2 linked regions of the Styela clava genome follow. The protein of the gene in region 2 purifies or fractionates together with the protein of the main gene of each other region. This does not show direct contact. Links are inferred from orthologs where the notes say so. Each region holds a gene or a part of one and is shown on either strand. Other genes may lie near its edges.

What was found.
Region 1: the proteins of DNA replication licensing factor MCM6-like (region 2) and serine/threonine-protein kinase PLK1-like purify together in Homo sapiens (affinity purification with mass spectrometry; 3 studies listed by BioGRID and IntAct, with this or other methods). This does not show direct contact. The link is inferred for Styela clava from reciprocal best matches to the Homo sapiens genes MCM6 and PLK1.

What each region holds. Positions count from the first base shown.
Region 1 is NC_135260.1:16,478,011-16,491,059, reverse strand, and holds serine/threonine-protein kinase PLK1-like, read left to right. Parts: upstream 1-6,237; 5' UTR 6,238-6,331; coding exon 6,332-6,502; intron 6,503-6,866; coding exon 6,867-7,016; intron 7,017-7,337; coding exon 7,338-7,463; intron 7,464-7,704; coding exon 7,705-7,892; intron 7,893-8,175; coding exon 8,176-8,304; intron 8,305-8,427; coding exon 8,428-8,597; intron 8,598-8,981; coding exon 8,982-9,137; intron 9,138-9,456; coding exon 9,457-9,534; intron 9,535-10,123; coding exon 10,124-10,329; intron 10,330-10,684; coding exon 10,685-10,816; intron 10,817-10,965; coding exon 10,966-11,172; 3' UTR 11,173-12,302; downstream 12,303-13,049. Other genes in the region: uncharacterized protein LOC120347563, read left to right, coding at 12,946-13,049. UniProt on the Homo sapiens protein: Serine/threonine-protein kinase that performs several important functions throughout M phase of the cell cycle, including the regulation of centrosome maturation and spindle assembly, the removal of cohesins from chromosome arms, the inactivation of anaphase-promoting complex/cyclosome (APC/C) inhibitors, and the regulation of mitotic exit and cytokinesis.
Region 2 is NC_135258.1:11,781,417-11,794,743, forward strand, and holds the start of DNA replication licensing factor MCM6-like, read right to left. Parts: upstream 6,172-13,327; 5' UTR 6,074-6,171; coding exon 5,979-6,073; intron 5,764-5,978; coding exon 5,620-5,763; intron 5,414-5,619; coding exon 5,300-5,413; intron 5,179-5,299; coding exon 5,016-5,178; intron 4,241-5,015; coding exon 4,101-4,240; intron 3,663-4,100; coding exon 3,509-3,662; intron 2,356-3,508; coding exon 2,251-2,355; intron 1,436-2,250; coding exon 1,285-1,435; intron 1-1,284. Other genes in the region: putative oligoribonuclease, read right to left, coding at 7,027-7,596, 8,005-8,088. UniProt on the Homo sapiens protein: Acts as a component of the MCM2-7 complex (MCM complex) which is the replicative helicase essential for 'once per cell cycle' DNA replication initiation and elongation in eukaryotic cells.

The sequences.
Region 1 (13,049 bases), on a different chromosome or scaffold from region 2:
ATTTATTTGCGAATTTAATGCGTCTCTGAAATACCAAGTGGTATTGACATCATTGGTTTTCATCAAATATATCAAAAGTGATGGCCGAAAAAAACGATAAAAAAATAAATTTAAAATCCAATTTTTCCGAATTTTATTGATGATAACATTTTTAGCTTTTTTATGTTGAAATATATCCGAATATACTAAAAATTTTAATCCAAATGCACTAGAACAAATTTTCCATTTTGGGGTCCGAGGTCATATAGGTAATCAAAACCACTCCCTTAAGATATAATTATAAAATTCCCACATCGACTAATGCAAAAAAAAATTAAGTTTGTCTGAAAATTCGCTCATCCATATGTGTTTGAAGTTTAACTCACGACTTCGTAACTTTCAGCAATAAGTCATTTAACAAATAATCCAATTTATGAAATTATGGAAATTTTGTCATGTGGTATTAAAAACTCCACTATGAACAACTTTCAAAATATCGCTATTAGATCTCTTTCCAGGTTACATTTTGACCTCAATAAAATAGTCTATTCTATTTTTGAAATTGCAATTACTTCGCAAAATATAATTTTGTAGACGATGAGATTTTAGTTCTGAACAATTCCTGAACAATACTTTTCAGTATGTATACTGTCAATTTATTATTTTTCCATGTGTGTCATCTATTACGAGTATAAAAATAATTAAATGAGTAGTCTCATATTTTCATGTGCATAGTCTAATATCGTCTGTTACACGAGAAACGCATTTGTGATTAGGCAACCGAGAGCACTTCAGTTCGAAAGCGCAGTCGGAGTCAGATGTCGTTACGCACGACGAAACTTGATACGAAAGTATATTCGGGGTTTCGGGAACAAACGAACATTTTACAGGGAACTAATCTGTGCCAAACTTGGCAAGAAGGTCTGTCACGATGTCTACAAAACCCACAAAAGTGATCAGGCCAAAGGAAGAGGTTTATTTTTTGCAAAATCGGGTTTTGGGGTCTCGGATGCGAGTACCCGTCAATCTAGTCACACTCGAGTGATTTCAATGTTTACAGGTAATTGAGCTCTGTTTCCGGGCAGAGCGTTTTGCAGACTATATTTTTACAAATATATTCAACAGGTGGGCAGTGGCTTACAAGCAAAGCATTTAGGGGAAGCGTGAACGGTTTTGATGATGGACTATGATTAAATAGCCAGCTCGCGGTGTCGACCATATCCAATGATGTTCCTCATTCCCGCAAATAGGCTAAATAACGTAGTCCCTCGGAATTGGGCGACGACGATTGGGCACCATCTCCACTATATTTAAAACGAACTGTATTACTTGCGTGAAATTTTGTCATACCATTTTTTATTGAAAACCGCTAAAAATAACGCTGTGAGTGGCTCACCATATGCCACAGAAAACGAGTAGCCCAACTGCAGCAAAAAATAACATGTGACCGAAATGCAGCAAATAGATGTATATATATATACATAAGTCCATAGCTGAAAAGTGTGAATCTACATGAAACCGTTCCTTAAAATACATTAGTTAAGCATCAGCTTTCGATAGATGCCCATAGACCTTTGTTTTAAACAAAAGCGTCAAATATCAAACCTGAGTAAATTCAGGAGGTCAGGAACTATTTTCCGAGTCAGAAGCACTTCAACTATTTTCTAAAGCAGCAGGCTCCCTCACAATCTAGGTACAACATTTCATCAAATCGTCCGACGTTTCAATAAATAACTCGGTGTTTCGTTAATTTTCCTGAGTTAAAATAATTTCGGCATACGACTCTCGCTATAGTATATATACGTTTCAAGTTCAAAGTACTGAGACTCCGACGACTGTTACAAAGCCATCGGTTCCATTTCAAGACCTGAACTAGCCCACGAACTAGCCAACATTCATAGCTGGATGTTAGTTAATAAATTATCTCTTAATGCTAACAAGACTAAATTTGTATTATTCCATCCAAACAAGCATAAAAGTCTGAGTTGTACAAAACCACTGCTGCTCAATGGCAATGAAATTGAAAGCGTGAAAGAAAGAAAATTTCTAGGAGTTATCTTCGATGGAAATCTGTCTTGGAAATCACACATATTGCATGTTATTAGTAAAACAAAAAGAAACTTGGCAGTGGCTGCCAAAGTATCCCAGTGTGTTAATCAATCAGCTTTACTAGCAATGTTTCAATCATTACTACTCAGCCATATCCGATATTGTTGCTCAGTCTGGCTCCATGGTAATAAAACACTTGTCTCAAAATTGCAAAGTATTTGTAATAATTTTTTAAGAATTCTTTTTAGGAAAGGTAAACGTGAAAGTGTAAACCATTTCTATAAAAAGCTAAATATACTCAAAGTTGAAGATATAATGAAATTTGAAGTATTATCATTAGTCCATGATTTCCATAACAATTCCTTGCCAAACTGCTTCGACGACATACTAACTAAAATTATTTCCAATCGAAGAAGTAGTTCCAACCTGTAGTAGTAGTTCATACCTTTTATGAGTACATCTGTGAGCCAACATGCCTTATGTTATACTGGGCCCAAGCTGTGGAATTCTCTCCCCTTGAATTTGAAGACATTAAAATCAAAAAAATCTTTTCAGAAAAAGTCAAGTCCTACTTGGTATCAAAATATTAAAATTTATAATTAGAATCACACTGTTATATATTTTTCGTATGTAATTAGCTACAACTTCAAAAGAAAGACCATGACATAAGTTGGGACACTCAGCACTTGCACATACTTATTGTTTTCATAAGAATGTTGAACACCCATTGTTATTGTTTCTGAGATTGCTAATTTATTTTTGAACAAGCAGTTGAGCTCTCTTCATCTGTTTTGCATTCTAGTTGGCCATTTATTTTGTTCTATAGCATAAGATTTTCCTTAATATGACTTGTCACATTCTGATATCTACATGCGCATGTTTCCTTTTCTTTCAATGTTGGGTTTCTGATATTCCACATGCGTGAACTTTGTTCTCTATTTGGGTGGTGTGATTCTTTGTGAGGGTTGTAGACAGTAGAATTAAACTCCTGTACCTAATATTGTAATTAGGTGACCAGTCGAGGTATATTTGGATTCCCCCCCTATTGTTATTATTTCTGAGATTACTAATTAATTTTGAACAAGCAGTTGAGCTCTCTCCATCTGTTTTGCATTGTAGTTGGCCATTTATTTTGTTTTATAGCATAAGATTCTCCTTATTATGGCTGTTCACATTCTGATATCTGCATGCGCATGTTTCCTTTTTTTTTCAATGTTGGGTTTCTGATATTCCACATGCGTGAACTTTGTTTTCTGTTTGGGTGATGGGATTCTTTGTGAGGGTTGTAGACGGTATAATTTAACTCCTGTACCTAATATTGTAATTAGGTGACCAGTCGAGGTATATTTGGATTCTCCCCTACATTTTAACTTGCTGTAGTACTATATGCTATGTCCTGCGTGTGTACAAAGTTTTTATCCTTGGTCGAATTTATGCTGTGTATAGCATGCAAATGTGTAAGGGTTAGTGTGATGTTCATGACTAAGATAATGGCATACATATGTGTGGTTTGACCGACATCGAAAGGTTTTTGCATGGTTTGTGAACAATTTCTCTTGTGTCCCAACCACAATCTCTTCTTTCTCAGGTCTTTCAACTAGCAGTCTAATGATATTTAATTAATATTAATCAATATTTACACAATTCAACAACTTCCACTCAAAGGTGTAGGGTAGTTTTCTATTGATTCCTTATTTGCAATCATTGAACATTGTACTCGCAGATATATTTTTCGTTTTTCAGGACGTCATGATGATCAATTTAAATGCTATCTATGTCAACATGAAAGGTGTATACAACAACAAAACTTGCAGACTGATGAATCATCCGTGATGAATTTGAACTGACCGCAGTGATCAACAACCTCAATTAAAGTTACTTGCCTATAATCCATGACCCTAGAAACCTTACTTGAACCTTAAACACCATATATATTCCCTTAACCAATTTTCTTACCTCTGTATCATACCGCCCTAATTAATTTTAATTATGATTACCGGTACTGTTATTGATTAATAGTATTTAAAATAATTTGGACGTTATTTGGCTTGTTGTGGCTTCTATTTGATGAGTGAAGCAGGTCTAGCCCACCTCTTCATACATCCAACTTGGCAATTCTGATTGGGCAATTTGGCATTAAGTGACTCCAATTATAATCAGCTTGACGATATCTTTTGAGGAATACTTTTATATCCACAATACATTACTCTTGTTGACTAATTCGGTATCCAATTTGGCAATCCTCATAAAATTATTGATTTGGTGTGGCAAAAGAATTTATTCATTTTTTTTTTATTTGTTTGTATATTTTCCTTCTTTTTTACTTTTAAGTCTCGCTGTTTTCGCTTCCGACTGTATCATGTCTCGATGATTGTGTGTGTGTGTGCATGCGTGCCTTAATTAGTTTTTTTTTTTTTACTTTTGGGTGAGCGAACACGTACTACTTCTTTTATCAATACCTTTCCATCTAAAATCTGTACGTTTCAAACCTTACTCTAGGTTTTGTTCGCTTTCCCGATTCTATAATCAGTTACTTTTACTTTTATCTATTTTTTTATCGTCTATTGCTGATTATGGAGTCGAAATAAACTTATACTTATACCTGATACACGACGTCGTCCCTATACAGTATATATATATATATATATATATATATAACATGAGTGTGAAATCAAACTTTTTTTCCAAATAATAAATATTTTTAGAATAAAATACTTTTGTGTGAATTCTTCAGATGTGAGACGGCGAGCCACCCTCGAGAATGTTGAATGGGTGACCGTACGTTTGAACCCATGTGTATATCCGCGGGTTCAATCTATATGCAGGTGCTAAAACCCATGGGTTAGGTTAGTATGGGTTCAAATATCCGTAAATCAAAAAAATTTTCTGTAGGTGCAATAGTATGCAGATGCAATCGTCGTGGGTTCAAATGTACGTGGGTTCAAATGTAATGGAACCTCTTGAATGCGCTTTGACTCTAACAAAGTGACTAGTCAATTTGGATTCTGACAACCCACGACGAGACGAGAGAATCGCCAAATGTTAATATGAGAGAATGAGAAAGAGAAACGTCATTCTTTGTACACCAATCAGAAACCGCCGTCGCTGGAACAGCGAGTTTCAAATGAGATTTAAATGCCTGTGTTCGGCGTGTATTTACTTGGCAAAAGGTAATATGAAAAAGATGAAAAAGACTCGATATCCAGGGCTCACTGTTGTGTATTTTGAATCAAATCTTATCAAAATTAGTTAAATTTATCGTATGTGTGTATTAGAGAATTGCTTTTGCACCTGTAATTACAAGAACAGCGGTTATTTTTTGTGTAATTCAATATAAGGGCTTTGTTACCGGAGATTTTTACATTTTATTTTTGAAACGGGAACACTTCTAAATTGTTGAATTTCAAATTGTTGAAGTCGCCTCCGAGATTGTTTGTTAGTTTTCGGTACTGGCTTGTATAAGCGCCAGTTTGGAAAGATTTGAAACGCAACAGTGTCGCGACTCATCTCCAAGCAGATCGTAACTAGGATGCTATTATTCATTTATCTATGTCCTTAAAATATCATGTGTGGATTATTTAGAAATTTTGCAATAGCAGAATAAGGTGGAGTTGAACATCCACGGACCTATCGAGACTGTGTTTAATGTTTCAGTGTTTGGACCGACCTGCCGCAATACTGGTTAGTCATTAAAGACAGACTGACTGAAGAAATAGCAAAATTTTGCCCAAAGTCATGTGATTGACTAAATCCAGAAATCAGAAATGTGATCATCTTATGTAGCTTTCAGAATGAAATATCAACTTTCATGGTGTTTGTAAAACTGATTAATGACTGAATGATCTATTTGGAAGTGGTCAGATAACTTCTTTCAATTGATATTCAGTATGCCAGGATTAAAAATATTTGGATAGAATAGTCATTAAATGCGTTTTGTGAATGACAACTTCTTCCATCGTTATTTTTCATCTATCCAGCTATCTGTCCATAGGCATCAATCCAAAATTATTTCCTGATGTGGCCAACCGCGGTAAATTTCATTTTTAACTAAGCACTTATTCCTTCAAAATAACAGAAGGTTGACACCTGTTAAATCAAAAATAAAATATCCATCAAAAGTAAAGTATGAAACAATAAGCTTTAGGGATGATCATTGGGCCCTTGTACGCAGTAATACTTTTTACCGTCTTGTTAGTAATATTTCAGTAATTAGTGTTTTTCTCTTGTCAGAATTAACTAAATATTTTATTGACATCTGAATTTTCTCCGCGTTCAATCATTTGAAGAAGTTACCAGCACCAACATGTCTAAGAAGGATATTCCGATGAAGGAGATCCCTGAGATTCTGTGTGATGACAACTCTGGAAAACGTTATACTCGCGGAAGATTTCTGGGAAAAGGAGGATTCGCTAAATGTTTTGAAATAACAGATCATGAAACAAAAGAAACGTTAGCTGGAAAAATTGTTCCTAAGGTTAAAATAAGCTACTCTTCACATCTCAATATATTAAATTATGTATCGTATTTTCTCATATTTCGTTGAGAATAATATTCAATTTTGGCAAGTGCATTATGGTTTACACAGAGTTTAGTAAAACAAGTTTTAAAGAAATTGTTTATGAACTGTCATGTAATAATTTAGGTTCATGAAAACTAAATGCATTTTCATGAAATTTCATTTCAAAATTTGGCAGATATCATGAATCCATAATTTACCGTTCAGTTATCTTTTAGTCCAGAATGAAATTGTAAACTAGGTTTCTCTAATACTATTTCATTTTGTCACTTTCCAATATTATTTGTTCAAATACTCAATTTTGCTATTTTCCATACTTTAGGCACTTCTTGTGAAGCCTCATCAGAAAGAAAAAATGACTCAAGAAATTAGTCTTCATCGTAGCCTCAATCATGATCATGTTGTTGGTTTCCATGGATTTTTTGAAGATAAAGATTTTGTTTATATTGTCTTGGAATTGTGCAAAAGAAGGGTATAATTTGAGTTTTGTTCAAATCTTATTTTACTCTCATTTCCTCATCTATCTAAATTAAAACCTTTGTCATTTGAAATATTGTACCTGTTCAGATTAGTCAAAATTTACTCGCGTCATTGTACCGATACGCTATGTTCACTACATGAAACAGCAATGTTTCTAGCTGTCAACAATTTTGGATGAATCGAAAACAATTTATTAAAATAACACATTTAAACTTTGACTTGAACAACAACAGCGGCTGTCATTATGTGGTTCCGCAGTGCAGATAACATAACATTTTTTTATCTCTCAAAATTCTATTATTTCTTTCTACAGTCTCTTATGGAATTGTACAAGCGACGAAAAGCTCTTACCGAACCAGAGACAAAATACTATATGAAACAAATTCTGCTTGGAGTTGTATATCTACATGACAAAAAAATTATACACCGAGATATAAAAGTAACCATTTTATTATTATTACCTATTATGTATAATGAAATTAGCTCTCAAGACTTGACTAATTTACGGATATGTTTTTTTTTTTTATTAAAAAAGGTGGTAGATTATGATAGCGGAATAGTGTACAGAAGAAAATATATTGATTGCCGAAAATTGTCATATAATCTGGATCAAAAATTTCAGTATACATACTATCTCTTCATTTATCTTTTATAATTTAATGTACATTCAATTTTTCCAGTTGGGAAATCTTTTTCTAAACAATGAGATGGAAGTGAAAATTGGTGATTTTGGCTTGGCAACCAAAGTTGATTTTGAAGGGGAAAGAAAGAAAACATTGTGTGGTACACCCAATTACATTGCACCTGAAGTGTTAGGAAAGAAGGGACACAGCTTCGAAGTTGACACATGGTCTCTTGGTTGTGTATTGTAAGTTCACACATTTTCATGATCAATAATTTTAATTTCAGAGAGTATCTCATTGGGTTGTTCACTAAAATTCCCGTATTATCACATGATCAAAGCCTGATTAGAGAATGTTCTGATGCATTTTTTACTCGCATTCTACTTTGCCCATATGGCATTTCATGTCGCTTGTTTTAAACCTCATTTGAAGTTAAGGCAACTTTTCTGATTTTCCTCTTTGTGTTGTGTTTGTCTTGTGAATTGTAATTTTTTCGTACCATATATCGGAAAGATTATCCTTTTTCAGATACACACTGCTGGTTGGTAAACCTCCATTTGAAACCTCAACATTGAAAGAAACTTACAGCAGAATAAAGAAAAATGAATACAGAATTCCTCATCATGTTTCTCCAGCTGCCAAGACTTTAATAAAAAGGTAGTTTTAGTATCTTATGTAGTTTTAGTAGCTTTTAAATTGAACAAATTGGATTCGACCATTGGAGTTACTCCTAGTTTACTTTTTGAACGATACTCAATAAAATTTGTTGTTCATTTTTAGAATGCTATGCAATGAACCCTCATCTCGACCCTCAGCGAAGGAAGCTCTGGAAAGTGACTTCTTTAATGGTTATATTCCTCATAAACTACCTACGACTTGTTTGACCATGGCACCTCGATTCCCTGAAATGCAGACGCAATCTCAAAGGAAACCTTTGCAGGATATAAATGGTATGACTTATGAGAAGTCACAAGTTTTTGAAAATTACTTTGTTGAACTGCTTTTTGATGAAACGCTTTGATTTACGAGATGGTGTTTGGATTCATCCTCAGTTTAAATAGCCTACCGCTTTAATTCTGAAACTTGCATCTTCAATTACAGGCATGCAATAAATAGATATAGTTCAGGGGTACAATGATAAAAATGTTATTCAACTAATACAAACATTAAAATTTTGTGGATGCCATCTGCTCACATTCGAAAATAGATAAAACAATGAATAATCTTTGAAGTGTTTTGTCAAAAGCAATCTTTGATTACCTGTATAGTTAAACAACACAAGTTGTAATGCTATCAATAACATTGCTAATGTTTTAATTTTAATCTTCTGTCAGGTTCTGATAACACTCCTGCTCAAATGGCTGGGAAAAAATCAGAACCAAATGAGATATGCAATAATGAATCTCCTGATTTTCATATGGGTGAATTATTTGAGCAACTCACTAAACTTATTGACAGCAATCCTTCTCATCGAAACCCGGTTAATATGGGTAAGTACTTAAAATTATATTCAAATGTATTTTTGGTAGGTTTCAGTGAGATTACTTATTGCTTAGCAATGTTGACTAATCCAGGCTTACTGGCTCATCCGGCATGTGTAAATTGTCACCATGCTGAATGTTGCAACATCTTGTGAGAGAGAATACGAGTGTGTAAGTGAATACTCCTATGCCCTGTTTAAATTCACTTAATTATTAATATTTCATTCATTTATCTTTAATTTTTTATTTTTCTGGATTTTGACATATATAGTATTGTCAATTATCCTAGAGTTTCAAGAGTTACATTTCTTTCATACATACTTTACAGATGAAGCGGAAGATCCAGCAGCTAATCCAGTCTTGTGGATCAGTAAATGGGTGGATTACACAGACAAGTATGGACTGGGTAAGTCTAATATTTATCGGAATATAATGTAGATATACGTTTGTAATCTAGGTTTAGGATTTCAAGATCTGAAGTTATTCAATTCATTTATCTATCATGATAATTCATGTGTAATATATTCTATAACTGAACTTTTACTATTTAAATTTTGAAAAGATTTTTCAAAAAACTTTTTCTCACCCTAATTCAGAACAAGGCCCCAAGACAAGCAACCACTGTTATCAGTGGAGCACTATTCTCGAGAGTACCTGAATTTTTCCTGGTTGTAGGCTTGGAGGTTGAAGCCAAATTCTTAAAGTTATCAACAGTGCCTTCTATAGTCATTCCACCCACAAACGCCAATAAACTTCTATTTAAAATTTTACATAAATTAAAGGGGTTTTCATTAATGATGTGTTTCATTCAGATAATTTTTGGGCCCTATGTATTCCCATTTTTTCAGAGTAGTATATTTGTGTTAAATATTCATTAAATTTACACCAGTATAATGAAAAACCATCGTTATTATATTTTGCCTATCTCTTAAGTTGGGAACTTCACAAATGATATTCAATCTGTAACGCTCAATTTAATATTGTATGTTTTACAGGATATCAACTTTGCGACAACAGCAATGGAGTGCTTTTCAATGACAGCACTAGAATTTTGCTTTATGCAAATGGTGAACATATTGAATACATTGACAAAGACATGTCGGAATCATATTATACTATACGAACATACCCTGATATGCTCGTTAAGAAAGTTACTCTTCTCAAGTATTTCAGAAATTACATGAGTGAGCACCTGTTGAAGGTAAGATTTGTGGGAGTTGGAATTAATCTTTTCCATTTTTTCTTTTATTTTTCTAGTTGTTCATGGTAAGATGACAGATAAATGTGTCGGGATAGGTATGTTACTGTTTAGATAATATTGAAACATATTTTCCAATTTTTTTTAGATTTTTTTAGTTGTTCGAATGATCCAAAAATATGGAATCGTTAAGTCTATTTTGTGTATATGATTGCCATATAACATAACCCAACATACAATTATCCTGAATTTGAATATCTGTTTGAATTCCCAATTCTACCTAAATGCATACTCTTGCAATATTTCTCGTCCAATTGGTTTGTTTAAAAATGAATTCATTTTGTATTCATTTTTCTAGGCTGGAGCATCCATGGCACCCAAAGAAGGAGATCAACTTGCTCGACTTCCGTTCTTACGTACATGGTTCAGGACTCGTAGTGCCATTGTCTTGCATCTGAGTAACGGAACATTACAGATTAATTTCTTTGCTGTAAGTATTTAAGTATCAATTTAATAAACTGAGAAAGTTGTATAATATTTATTTCTAAGGTTACAAATTTTTTTATCCACATTCTATAGAATTACACCATATTTGTGACATGTGACATCACATAATACCATATTCGTTTGATTTATCAGGATCACACCAAGATTATTCTCTGCCCATTAATGGGAGCTGTTACTTACATTGACGATAACCGAAAGTTCCGAACATATCGACTGTCATCACTAGAGAAATATGGATGCTGCAAAGAGCTTGCACATCGGTTGAGATACGCAAGAACAATGCTTGAGAAGTTGAAGACCAGTCGAGCATCCACCGCCAGAATCAAGGACCAATCGTAAACTGAGACTGCTGAACTTATATTGTAAACAGCTACTAATTTTCCATGCTTTTTTGATGAAGGGACTTGTAAAGCCTCCAAGTATTACTCTTGTAGTACTTATAAATGTTTGAAAGCATCAACAACGCAGGCTAAAACTAAAAAGTTTGATGTTAAAAATTTTGTCACTATGGCCATTTGATCTTCCTTTGATATATAATAGTAGTAATCAATTTTTATTGTTACTTGCTATTTCTGGTGTGGAATGACATCTCGCATTATTAAGAATGCTCTATCTCTTATGTGATTCCTTATTGAGGCCATGAAGTTTCATTTGTCTATCTATTATATTGACAATTATTGTGTTTACTTTGATAATAATAATTTAGCTTTCTGCTATTTTCTTGTTCCACTGCCCTATCTAATTAAACATTCGCTGCTTGAAATGTATCAACAGTCTATGGAAACTATTCATTGATATCTCAGCGCTTGGTATGCGTTGCTCTCATATGGTGTCAAAAAAGTTTATGATTATCATTTGAATTATTACTGTACTCATTTGAATGGACCCTATCTGCTCGCACTGGGTGATAATTGCAATGATAGTCAGTCAAATGGTCCGAATACCCGAAGTACATGATGATTTATGTAAATGACCAAACAGCATAGTAGCACAACACAGATTGCACATGAACAATCCTTATTGGTTTGTGGTTTCACTGATGTTAAATTGTAAGGCTGATAGAAAGATCGATAGCAAATTTTTTGAATGGAAATTATACATATTCAATTTTGATATTTGTCATTCTTTGTACACTTTCTTGCTTCTACTAGTCAAATTATCTTTCACTTGTACTCTTGTATAAAGTGATACTTTTCCTAATGTGAGAATGTTGTTGAAATCTCAGTTGTTCTAATTGAACAGTTTGTGAGTACCGAGCAGCATCTGAGAGGGACAGACTCACTTAACATAATTTCTTTCTCTTTGATTGCAGTTCCTTGCTGAACTAGTTATTCTTTGGAAATGCATCATGTAATAGATCTCACTATTATTTCATTTTTGGAATAAATTTGAATAGTTTCTGAACCGATATTCAACTTTAAATGATTATTGATTTGTGTGATTATTATAGAAATACCAACTTCAAATTATTTCGATGTTCTATTTTTGGGTAAAGAAATAGACAGGTTCATTTTCTCATTTCGCAATAGGTGTACTATTAGCAGCAGAGTCCAAATTTCAACTCAAAAATAGGGCAGAATCGGGCCTTGCCCAATTTGCAATGTAACATGGTTTCACTTTCTTAGCTTAGAGAGTCTGAATTTTTAACAGGTGTTGGGCCACTGTTGGCTTTTGAAGTGAGCTCAGGCAGCAATTGAATATGAATTTTGACACAGACTGTGTTTCCCTAATTCTTTCTTGAGTCTGAATTTCTAAAAGCTCCTGAGTGTAGTGGAATTGATCTTACTTCGCAGTGATGATATACGGAGGATGCCGTTGAGTATGTAAAATCAACCCTATCTCTAGCAGGTTTCCTTCAATCAGTACAATACTTTAGTGTTGAAGTCGGGATTGTGTATGATGTCATAATCAAAGTAAATCAGCTGTTCTCTGAGTACAAATGAAGTGACGTCATAATGTGGTATTATAATTTGTAAACTGAATATTGATGATGACAAGAAAGTTCAGTTCAAGTTTTTCGCCCCGTTTAGGAGTAGTATCGTCCTGTATTTAGGTTAGATAATAGTTAGGGTGTAAAGAAATGCAACAAAAGGATTCTATAGTTGTAAAGTTATGATGAACTGGTCAGGGAAGCATAGCTCAGGAAAAAATTGTAAAAGCCGTTATTGTGTCCACAATAGCTGTGACAAACCTACGTCGTCAAATGGATATACCGA
Region 2 (13,327 bases):
AATTTCCCCATAACGTTTAGTATTCAAATTTCATATTAAATTCATTAATCATTACAAAAAATTATTCATCCATTCTTCGGCCTAGTTTCTTTGCCAGGCGCAGTTGTAAACTCGGCGATACCCGAGCAGGAATCCCGGCGCGCTGCTTCTTTATCACCGATCTGACACCTTATCTAATCTCCGTGCATGGATATCACCGATTTGTATACCTATCCATTCTTCGGCCCAGTTTTTTTGCCAGGCGCAGCAACAGTGCCTATCTGTTCCTGGTTTTCTTCTGCAAAAAAGAAATTCCAACTCTATGAAACCTTGTCGTGGCGAGTTGGCTCAAAACTAATATCAGTCGGCACTAAGTAAATGCTATACAAGTAGAACTCTTGGGCATGCGTTTTGCAAAGCAATCGCTCTGTAGTTGTCTTCTCCTGGAGCATCGATATCGCAGAGCGATTGTTACTGGCGAGTTGTTTGCCTCTCGTTGCTCTGTAGTCGAGTTGTCTTCACCTCGAGCACCGATGACATCACGTCGCAGAGCGGTAGCTCGACTGGTTAGTTGACTGCCTGCCGAGCGACTGCCGTAAGCGAGTTTAGACTACTGCGACCATAGACTACTAAGCTCACATTCATAAATATATAAGTGTTACTGTGATGTATAAATGTTTTATTATACTTGAAGGTGATCATTCGAAACATTTAATACCAGAAACTTAACAAAATTTAAACGCACGCAATCCTATTTCGTCTGTAGACTGTATTTGTATTCATACAACATGAGAAAAATAAGCCACTTACACAAATAAAAATGCTTTCTAGCGAATATTTATCTATTTTTCTCAACATTTGAGCACTAAAAATATCAAAAACGCATTTCTATACCCCTAAAACACCGCTGTTGAAAATGCGAAAAGACGGACAACTCACCAGGCCTCTCTGTAGTCGAGTTGTCCGCATCCCATTAAAATTAGCATTTCCAAAACTGTACCCTCAATTCTAAGCAATCTTTTTGTTCATAACTATATAACTATATGTGAAAAATAATGCCATGTGAGTTGGAGAAGATATACATTGTGTTCATAAAGTCATAAATTTTTCAAATTGCAACAGGAATTTATAGATACCATATAGTTTGCTGGACCCTGAAGGTGCATTGAATGAGGTAAAAAAAACTTACATAAACACTGATTAGAATAAAATAAACCTAGTTAAGATATACTGATAAGATAACTGACTACACAACAAATTCGAAATTGAAGCTGCCTTTATAAACCTTATATATCTATTACTTACCATGAATAGTTGGAAACAAGCTTTGACATAGATTGTTGTAGAGATTTTTATCACAAGACATTTGATAAATTTTTTCCCATTCCGATTCTGTCATTTGATTTTTAATAGTTTCGATTGTTTGTTCATCATATCTTATTTCTTTTCCACCAAACTGTAATTGACAATGAGTGATAATCACATGCCTTTCTATATATTCATTAGAGCAGGGGTGGGCAATTACTATTCTGGGTGGGTCAGTTACAGATTAAGAATTGGTTACTGGGCCGGAGGCTCAAAACTTAATATGAAAAACTATGAATGAAGGACAGCTCATTTATAACCGATGAGTTAACGTTTATATAATAAAAAGGAGCACAATGTAACAATCGGGGTCATTAAGATCTTATTTTCATCGATATTTTAACAAAAATCACAACTATAGTCGTAATCCTGAGGCTCAGGCTCAGGCAGTCACTTTCGTCTAACGATATGCAAGGTGCTAGTGCTACTATTGTTTGAAATAATCAGAATCGACGCGGCCTCCATAATTTATTGGGTCAGGTGATGAGAATGGGATTTGAATTAAATGTGTGTAATCTGCGTTGCTAACACAGATAAGTCTACGCTTCAACTGCTAAGTCATTGCTGTCAGACACACATGCTGAATGCATACCACAATACTAATTCTGATTTAGCCATGAGTAAAAAATTTAGTTCAGACAAAATTTGAATTCCATGAAGTTTCGTGTTATAAAAAGGACTTCCCAATAACAATAACATATTCGAATACCAATGATTTATTAAAATTTAGCTTATGGAATAATAATTATTTTCTTTTTTAGAATCACGTCTCCATACCACACATTCATAAACATCATATGTAACATTTTGACAAAGATTAGAGAAAATTGAAATATACTCAAAATTATTTCAAACCGTGCCGACATTGTAAATACAAAACATGGAAAAAAATTGAAGATTACTTACTGTAGGATTGGTGGCAGTGACATGACAGGCAAGAAAAGCTTGACGATAATTCAAGTCGCGAACACCTAATGCTTTCAGACCTCTGATTCCTTCTGTTTCAAAACTCTGCAATAAAAATAAATATGCGAGGTTTGGTTTCATTTTTAATTATAAATGACCGAAACCAAATAAATCTACTATTTAAAATACAATCTATAATTGTATCTTCATAAAAGGAATATTGATTATACAGTGATACTTGATAGTCGATCGATACAATTCGGTAGTCGACCAAATAAAGGTTGATCAAAAAATGCTGCGGTGCTCGAATGAAAATTCAATGCTTGAACACCTAACTTGGCGTAAAGTGAGATGACGTCACCTGAACCGGTCATCCCGTTGCCACTTGACCATTCAACAAGAGATCGACGCTTAAATATAAGAACACGAAGACCAAAACAAATTAGTCCGGGTATGCAATCCGCCACAGTATCAGCCATGGTACACAATCTTCATGACTAACTATTTTGGGTATTTTGGAATGCGCAAGATTGAACTATAATTTCTTATGGTAATGGTAATGTTTCGGTACTCCAACAAATCAGTAGTCGGCATCGACACCAATCCTGAACAAAGTATGTTCGATTACCGAGGTATCACTGTAATGGGACCATGTTCAACAAGGAACACATAAAAGTGTACTGAACAAGTTTAAATTTAGCTAATCCGATTGAAAATACAATTGGGTTTCCACGATAAATTGAAAGAAAGAATATCAAGTCATACTGACTTGAGTGAGTCTTTAACACTTCAAAAATATAATTTTTTAAAAAACGATTCTTATTAATCCTAAAACCATGTATTTATAACATCAAATATGATTTTTTATCACATGTTCATATGCCATTCACTCTAACAAGTACCACTGATGTGCAAGGAGCTACTTTATACTGACAGGACCATCATCATTCCAGTTTGGCATCGCCTACCCAATCTACTACACCATGGGTGAGGTGGTATGCATGGAATTTGGGAGCTCCAGAACTATGTGTACTCATATGGAGGTAACTGCTATTGTTCGCCTACTTTACATCAAGTTGTGTAAAGGGACGGAAGCCTATGGGCAGGGGGTGTATTCACTTGGCTAACAAAGACAGTCCCTAAACTCATAATAGAACTAAATTAAGGAAAATCGGAATAAAATCATGGCTTCACCCTAACATGGTACAAATAATACGAGAGAACCCTTCAAAATACCAATGTTGTGTAATTGACTTACCCTGTCACCGCCGGTTCTTGTTGATGTTTCAGCTCTTGTCCCTGGTGTTGCAAGTTGTCCGACGTCTGGCACAACAATCAACGTTCCAATAAAATCGCATCTATCACCAGCTTGAGCCATTTCAACTGCTTCAGCACGAACAACTACTTCAACACTGGAGAGAATAAACATATAATCAAGATATCGTATATTGTGGATGTATACTTAACAAATAACTTGTCTCGTCAACTAAGTTCCTGTCAGTTGGAAAAACTATACTAAGCTCAGGGTTTAAAACCAATCTCTGGTAAAATTTTTTGAAAAATAGTCCTCACGAGATATTGACAGTTTCAGGGTGGTCAATACTTGCTGAGCAATTTGGAATCAACATTTAGGATAAATTTTAACCTATCGTCATTGAAAGTACTGGAAATCATCGAGGCATTGTGGGAAATTTGGCTAAAAAAGGCGAAATAAATTTAAAAAAAATTTTCCAACTCGCGTACTAAAAGTTGATTGAATGGTTGAAATTGATTGGTCCATAAAGTGACCTATTCCCAACAATACCTCCAAACAACAATTTAGTAAAATACCAACCATTAACATATTTTACCTTCTAGGAATGCATCCTCTTGGTAGTTCAGACTGTGTTTCTTGTATTCTCACTTTTTGAAAATCAACAAATCTGGATTTGTTTGTATCAAGCACAAACTTTGAACGATTACCACATTGTGGGTTTCTGCAGACTGTAGGCTGTAATGGATATATAAATAAAATGAAAAAGAAAATAGTGATACAAAAATGTCGTAAGGCATTCTGTTCATGCTTCTTCCATTTAATATTAAAACCTACACTCAATAGCAGTGGTACCTAACCGCCGGTCCGCAGACCGGTGCTGGTCTGCCAAGCTACGAGAAATTTAGTTGTTTTGTTATTTTTATGCCGTCTCAATCGCTTTACCGAAGATGAAGTTGAGTTGGTTTATTACGCAATTTCTCTTCTGCCGTCATATTGCGACGTCTTGATTTATTTGATAGATTTTCTTCATGTAAAATGTTTTAAGCGTACCTTTTTTGTCTAGATTCTAGAAGCATATTGAGTGCCTGACATTGCATTACATTACACAAACATATGTTATTCTTTTCCATCCCGGTCATTTCAATTTTTTGCCGGTCCGCGAGTACATTTAATTTAATTTTACCGGTCTGCCAGGGTAGAAAGTTTGGGAACCCCTGCTCTATAGAATGGAGTGGGCAAGATTTTTGAAACTGGTAACATAAATTTTCCCGAACTAGAATGGCAAGGCAAGTAAGTGTGACGTCAAAAGTTATATCTTATGAGCAGAGTGGCAAGAATGCGTACGATATGAACAAAATTAACAACAACTGCGGTATGTAGTGCATGCAGAATATGTTAAAAGCAGAAATTTATGCTAGAATCAAGTAGGCCAGATTGATTCACCTGACTGGCCAGATTTGGCCCACGAGCCATGGTTTGCAGATTTCAGATTTTTAGACAATAGACATACCTGCACATATTTGAATTGTTGTTCCACATCTTTTATAATAGTTTGGCAATCCAAGCATGTGAATGTTCCACTGACCAATTCAGGATGGACAGGATGAGTTCGGACAACTTGACCACTAATTCTCAACAATGTTCCAATTCTTCCATTCCGTAGCTCTCTTATTCTGTAATGATGGAAGACTTTATTTCATAAACATAATAGAAAACTCAATCACGAATTACAAGATAGAATAACCTGCAAAATATTGATCATTGGTTTCAAGAGAATACAACAAAAATGCTTACTTTTGTCTTGTTGGAACTTCTTCAAATGCAACATACAAATCTTTACTGGCTGGGATACCACGATAATGTTCTCTTGCAAAACTTCTTACACCTCGACAAAGGAAAGGGTACATTCTGAAAAGTAATATAATACAAGTAATGAGACCTAACACGATTTTATATTTTAATTGCAAAAAGGAAAGAGAACTTCCAAATATATGACAAAACAAGCAAGAGAGTGAAAGCATACAAGCTGAAACAAAATAGGGAATGATCAGTGTGGAATAACCATTGTATAATAAAATGTGAATGGAAAAAATCTCATAAATATCAAAGTTTACCTGTAATATTCCTCTTGAATAGTAGTTGCTAGTTGTTGATTGTAGATTTCGATATCTGTAAAGCTTACAGTAAGGGTGTTGCGTTCAGGTCTCATCAAAGCTTCAGCAGGTGCAAGATATTTCACTTCACCTTCAACTGAAAACCTGAAATAATTTTGAGTCATAAAAAATTAGTTTCTTTATATTTAGACAACTGCCAAAGCACCTGAAAATCAAAATCATAATTCAAACTACTGGTATGTAATGCCACTAATTTGCCGGATTGTCAAGAGCAAAAATGTACACTACAGCAAACGACCATTTGAGGCTTTATTAGTATCGGATTCCAAATGTAAAACAATATACATCTTTTGACTTACTCTTCCAAGAAATCCTGAAATAGTTTTTGAACTCTTTCTGCGATGCCATCTATAACTTTGTTTACCCGAGGTCCAGCCTGGTTTACAACATCCATTTTTGCACCTGAAGTACTCTTGACAACTAATATCAAATCTTGTACAAAGTCAAGTAAATATAGTTACTATTGTATATGATGATAATAATTTCTGAAACAATTAGAAAAAAAATTACAGAATTATTGGCAACTCTCAGTTGCATAGACAGTGTTTTACCTACGATTTTATTTTTAAGAAGATTATCAAATTCCATCACGACAAGGTTGATATGTGGGACTATTTATAAATCAGATGTGTGAAGAATTTGGATGTACAAGACTGGACTGCATAAACTATATTTCATGTGAAATTTCAATTTGAACATTACAAAATACAATACAAGTGAATATTTTCATACAGCATTAACTTCAAAATAAATCTATTTATTAAAATCATTTAAAACCAAATATGAACATAAATAACTGTAATCAAGCAGACTTTACGGCCTATCAACATAATCGAAAAATTTATGCCAATATCAGACAAACTTTTTTAAAATATGGTAAAAAAAAACATTCACCACACTGATGCTGAGATGGACTGAGATACTAAATATGTAATAAAATTATTATTCACTCCTACTGAGATTTTAGCCACACAAGTACAAATTCAAACTGCAAAATGTATTGAAGATTTTAGCCAGACTGCTATTTTTGTGATTGGTGAAAATAGATATAAACAATACATGAATGAAAAGTGGAAATACAATATTTCATTCGTTCATATTTAATATTAGTACTTAGTATTAGAATAGTTCTAATTACAACTTGCTGTAATTGGGTTTCAGAAACATTCTAGTACACAATACAACTTGATGCGTGGTCCTAATTATTATTACAGAATATGAATTGTAAGATTTTAAAAATTGTATAACAACAATGTACCAAAACTGATATAGGAGGTATCATATTCATGATAGGAATGCAAATACTACAAAAAAGATGTTGTAAAATAGTTTGGAGCACATTAAAAATCAAGTTTGGATGAACATATTGTCCTTATAATACTTGAGCTCTTTTATACTCTCCATAATATCACCCATAGCTCTATGGGATCCTTGTTTTGTGGGTGCTTTATTATAGATGCCTGGATACCAACGTTTACATAATTCTTTTACTGTACTAACATCAATAATTCTATAATGCAAATGATTTGAAAACATGGGCATATATTTATCTAAAAACTTTTTATCAGCATGTACAGAATTTCCAGCGAGAGGGCACACTTTGGGAGAAGTATATTTCTTCACAAATTGCAACACTTCGTCTTCAGCATCTTTTGTAGAAATTTTACTTTTGCGTACGGCTTCCGTCAGACCAGAAGCTCCATGGTGTTGTTGACACCATTCATCCATGCCAGATAACAATTCCTCACTTTCATGTATTATTAAATTAGGACCTTCTGCGATGATTTTCAAATGAGCATCTGTGACAATACAGGCTATTTCAATGATCTTATCTTTATCCACATCTAAACCAGTCATTTCTAAGTCAACCCATATCATTCTTCCAGACTTCCGATCAGCCATATTCAATGAATTCCTCTGAACAAAAATATATGAAGATATCAGTAGCGAACACAGAAAATTACACAAACATTTTAGGGGTTTGAGAGTTAATAGAAAGATGTCGGAGGTATCTGGATATTGATGGAAAAGTATTTGAATAATATCGTTATACCAGTATGGCCTACTGTCATAAACGCAAATCTTGATATAGCCAAGTGAGAGAGTACGATACCACAGTAAGATGATATGTTTAATATCTGGAACCATGTGAAAATAAATCAGTAAATGCTAGCATGTAATATTGTGAACAACGAAAAATCAAAACAAATTTGAGAGATAAAATAATAACGATATGAGGTATTTCTTTCTCTTTATTTATAACTTACCGTATATCTATATATACAAATGTATCACTATAAAATCAGAAAATCCTATAACACGCACCTTAATTTGATACCAAGTTCTGAAGTTAATGACCTTCAACTGATTTATAAGTGAAAACATAGACTGTAAAGTAAAATGTGACATTAGTAAAGCACAACTAAACTTATAGTATGAAAGGCATATTTTGGAATTCGCACCATGAACACATACAGTACAGATATGTCTGTATGTTAGCATTCAGATACTGACGCGGCGTCCTATTTATCATATGTATAAATCCTCATCTATGCATTCAACAGCAATGCTGATACTCTAAATTGTACTGTATAATATAATTAATAAACAAAAACTTGCCAATATTTTAATCGTCGCAAATAAAAACGAAAAAAAGCATTTTAAAAACATATAAATCCAAAAGACAGAGCAAAACGAAGACTAGCCTCCGAACGTGCTATTTGCTATGCAGTCAGCTGATCATTTTTCCCGCGGGTTAACAGTTACTCTCCTTTATAATTTTGAGCGCTGTGACGCCATGATTGATGTAACGAATTATTGCAACGGGTTAATAATGATAGACGGTTTCTAAAGGAATCGTTTGTACAGATGGGCTTCAGTTTATAACACTATCGCATGCAAAGGAATAGTTAACTTGGCTAGAATATAGTCCAGTAGAGTCAAACAATGAGGAAATATACTCTAAAATGCCCTTCATTGGCCCAGAATACGTACGGACCCACGCAAAACAATGTTTCATTGTTTCACCGTTGTTACACATTATGTTAATCTCGCCTTAATTTTTTTGAGGAATAAAACATTCGTTCTCGGTAAATTTTGACGACGGACTTGTTAGGGTTACAAACAGCGAGTACGTACAGGGAATATAGGGGGCTTCCCTCGTATTTTCTGGTAGCGGATGTTACGAAGCTCCATGCTATATCAAGCGCTCAAGTCAACCGGTATGTTAGTCGTTGAGTCAACCAAACTTGTCATATTTCCGTATGAAGGCATTTGGGCTGGATTCCAGACTTGTCTTTCTGATCCGTTAAAAACAAATTCTATGGACTAAATCACTAAAATATTAATGTCGAATTGCGCAAATTTCTAATGACTGTTAGTTTGATAATTGTTTCACCTTAGGAAGTACAAATATACTTTCTTTCATAAAACATCGAGTACTCGGTGTATATTGAATTTATTGGCATTTGAAATCGGGGTAAATTTAATTTTTTTTTTTTCTTAAATCAGGGTAAATTTGAAGACGTGTAGAATTCAGGGGTACGACGTGTACATTCGCCTATAATTACGCGGAAATAAACATATCATAGAATTAAATCCTATGGATCGTTACGGTGAATTAAATCGTGATATTATGTTAGTGACGTCATGGGCAAAACCATAATAGAACAAACGTCGAATATAATTGTTAGTATCGGTAGCGTATTTCAGGACAGTGATTTCACTGCACCCCTCTAAACTTTCAACCCCCCTAATTTTGAGGTAATTGTATATAACTTAAAAAGAATTGTGGCGTAAAAAAAACGCAAGTTAATAGGTAAGTTTACAAGATGTACTAGAACTGGACTTTCTATGACATAATTTTATTTCAACAACCGGAACGCAAATGCAATAAAATGTCTAACAACCGGAACGCCGTTCCGGTGCGTTCCGGCTACAGCTCATCACTGGGCATAGGCTTTTATTATTGCTTTAGTTTAGTTAACATAGTGTATGTGTACATTGTACATATATGTGTAATTCGGGTTGGCTCGAAATACGAAATCAGATATTCAAAACATGGCTCTAATTCAAGTGATTGTATGTCGGTATGGACCGAAGTTTTGATTTGTTAAGGCTCATAATTGTGTTGTTAGAAAGACTAATGCTGGAAAATCAACTTTTTATATCAGGAGCAATGAATTCCAAAACTTGCAGCATACATTCGTGGAAAATTTCAACAAACCCTTCAACAAACGGGTGATTCGTTTTAGCGATGTTGTGGGCTATATATACCAGTATCTAGAACCGTGGTAGCGTACCGCTACTTCTCGACGCCCAATATTCCTAATGGCTAAATGCCTAAATACCAATACCGGGAAAACAGGAGTACGGTAGCCGTACTCCACTCAACCACTCTAAGCGGAACAGTGTTAATTAAGCTTCTTACTAACACACCAACTGCACTTAGTTCTCTTCTATGTTCTCACTTTAATGTTATGAACTTATCGGTAGGCTATCTATACTTGTATGGTGGACGCTACGGCAATAAAAGTTCCGATAATTCGAAACTTCAGTATATCCTGTCCAGGGCCGGATCATGCCTTTGCAGTTTTGGTGTCCCTAAGCGCTTACGAATTTGATGCCCTATGTATAAGTTTATGAGAAGTAATAATAAAAATATACAGTATAATAATGAAACCAGTGTTCCATGTTATCTGATATTAAATATGCAGTTTCAGGATTCAATACTGATTGAAGGCCAAATTATGATTCATAAATGGTTCTCATGCCTACAGGTTTAATATGATGATTGAAAAAAAGCCAAATTTATTTTAACAAGGACAATATTAAGGTTTGAGTCGTCAGACCAACTTTAGTTATTTCATTAAACACTAAAGTGCAATTAAAATTTCGACTATGAAATATCTGTGATGCTTCCTTTTTTCTGGGTGCCCTTAGCATGTGCTTATTTTGCTCAATGGTTGATTCAGCCCTGTGTGGAAGGTATAACAGTGTAAAAACTTGACAGCATCTATTTTTCTCAAGTAAAGCCACGCTACGAATTTAAAAACTCGCTCTTAGCAAACAAGTGCAAACTTCTTCACATCAAAGTAACTCATAGAAAAATAAATGTTATGTAAAAACGATATTTTTATAATAATAATTTTATTTTTCGGCCTTACAAGAACAACATACCGTTTAGTATTTGTACATTTCTTCGGGTCGCGAGATATTACAGAATTTATTTTTTTTAAAAACTTGGGTCGCTTGAAAAAAAGGTTAGGAACCACTGATCTAGATTCTAGACTACTATGGCGGCGGGTAGTTCCAATTTGCAACTTCATTTTTATCTTATGCATGCTTTGATGACGGACCTGCGAACATCTTTCTGCATATTCCATGTGGTTCATGGGCTCTCGAAAGAGTAACACTATCATATCATATATATATTAAGTTCGCTATTACTGATCAGTGTTGAAGTTACCCTGGCCTCGAAACGGTTCAGGCGGGTATCTTTTCCGATGGCTGTGCCTATCCCACGACCCGCCTATACAGCATTTCTCGTTAAAATCGTGGTTTACATATGTCTTTTTCATTTGAAGGATTGCATCACAAGCATAATAATCAAATGGGTCTATTGCACTGAAAAGCGTTATAACTACATCCACTTGTTTTGAGTCAGTACGGATAATTTTAAATTTCTTATTCATCTTCTCAATAAGCTATTTCTGACATGTCGGGCACGAAAGCACGTGCTTCGAACCGACGCAACATTTTTCGAAGTAATTTACCCTGGCAGAGTTGCCAAGAGGGACGTTGATATAAATCAGCTAATTAAATACGATCTCCATCGCTAGCGAAAAGAAAGCGAAGAGATATCGTAATACATCAAGCCAGGTTGAAGTGTGATAAATAAAAGAGCCTGTGAGTAAGAGAACGTAACGGACAACCACTTTGCGTCGAAGCTGAGCAAATCCCATCACTGGTTATGACAGATTTGAATCATCTGATTTTAACGAAAATGTGTCGGCGCATTCTTATTTAGGCTACTGGGTAAGTTGAACTCAAATCGTACTATAGTTTCATTATAAACTTTGAGACCTTTTGATTTCTGCAATATTTCAACTATCATATTCAATATTTGGTGGCATAATTTCGATTTTTCCCTGTCTTCAATCCATACTCATAAAATATCGAAATTTAGTGTTGTTCAAATACTTTCGAAATTGAAATACCCCTTTTCAACTTGCAGGAAAACACAAATGCTACATGCCTTATTTGAAGGTTTTTGGCTTTTTGCAACTGGGCAAACACAAAATCTCTAAATTCTATGATTTCTACCACCTCCCAAATTTAGAACCACCCCGTAAAAATGTACTACATGTGATGAAGAAAGAAATGCTGATCCACGTTACCAGAGAAGATAGAAAAATAATTTCAGAAATACCCAAAACTATCCAATATAGTATATCAGTTGAAGCTGAAGGTGTTTTTTCGTATTTTGTGGCTACTTTGCCAATAAAATTAAAAAGCCGACTCGATGATAACAACCTTGAATTTGTTACGCTTCAACATTACAAGATAAAAATGCCTGAAATTTTGAATTCAGTCCTAACCTTACTGGTAAATATTTGTTTAAAGGAATAAGTATGCCATGTCAAAACTTTATATTTTCAAAGTCAAAGCACTGTTGTTAATAATAATTATAGTTCAAGAATGTTTCAAGTTAAGAAAGGTTTGAGGCAAGGTTGTAGTCTCTCACCATATATGTTCTTATTAATAATTGAAATAATTGCATGTAGAATGCGACAAAACCAGAATATACAAGGTATATGTCTCGGAAATACAGAAATTAAAATTTCCTTGTTTGCAGATGACGCAACAGTATATTGTGATGGGTCACAAAAAAGTATTAAAACAGTATTTTCTGAAACCGATAATTTCTTTACCATGTCTGGGTGCAAGATAAATACGAATAAATGCCAAGCATTATACCTGGGTGCAAATAATAATTGGCAAAATTTTCCTATGCAAGACCGAGGACTTCAGTGGAACCCTAGCTGTTTTAAAATTTTGGGCATTAATGTGTGTGGAAATGATACGGATCTTTTTACTGTGAACCTTTTGCCAAAACTTCAAAAACTGAAAATGGTTGCACAAATATGGTCCAAAAGAAATCTAGATTTCCTCGGAAAAATCACTGTGATTAAATCTTTGATGTTGAGCTTATTGGTTTATGTAGTTTCCATCTTACCAGTAATACTGCCCAATAGTTTTATAATGGAAGTAAATAAGATATGCCATGAATTTTTATGGGGTTCAAAATGGGAGAGAATAAAACGTAAGACATTAATTGCACCTGTGAAGGAAGGGGGGGTCAATATGCTTGATGTGGAATCATTTCTCATTGGTCAAAAATTAAGATGGGTTAAATGTTTAATAAATGACGAAATTGATGTCTCATGGAAATCCATAGAAATGTTTTTCTTGAATTTGTATGGAGGAAAGGCTTTATTTTATGGAAATGTATATCCGCATGGAGTGTATATCAAAAATATGTATTCCAGATGTTTGAGAGATACTCTGTACTATTGGTTTATTTTCAAATCCAAGATTATTAGGGATGTAAGTCATTTACATGAACCTTTGTGGTTTAATAAAAATA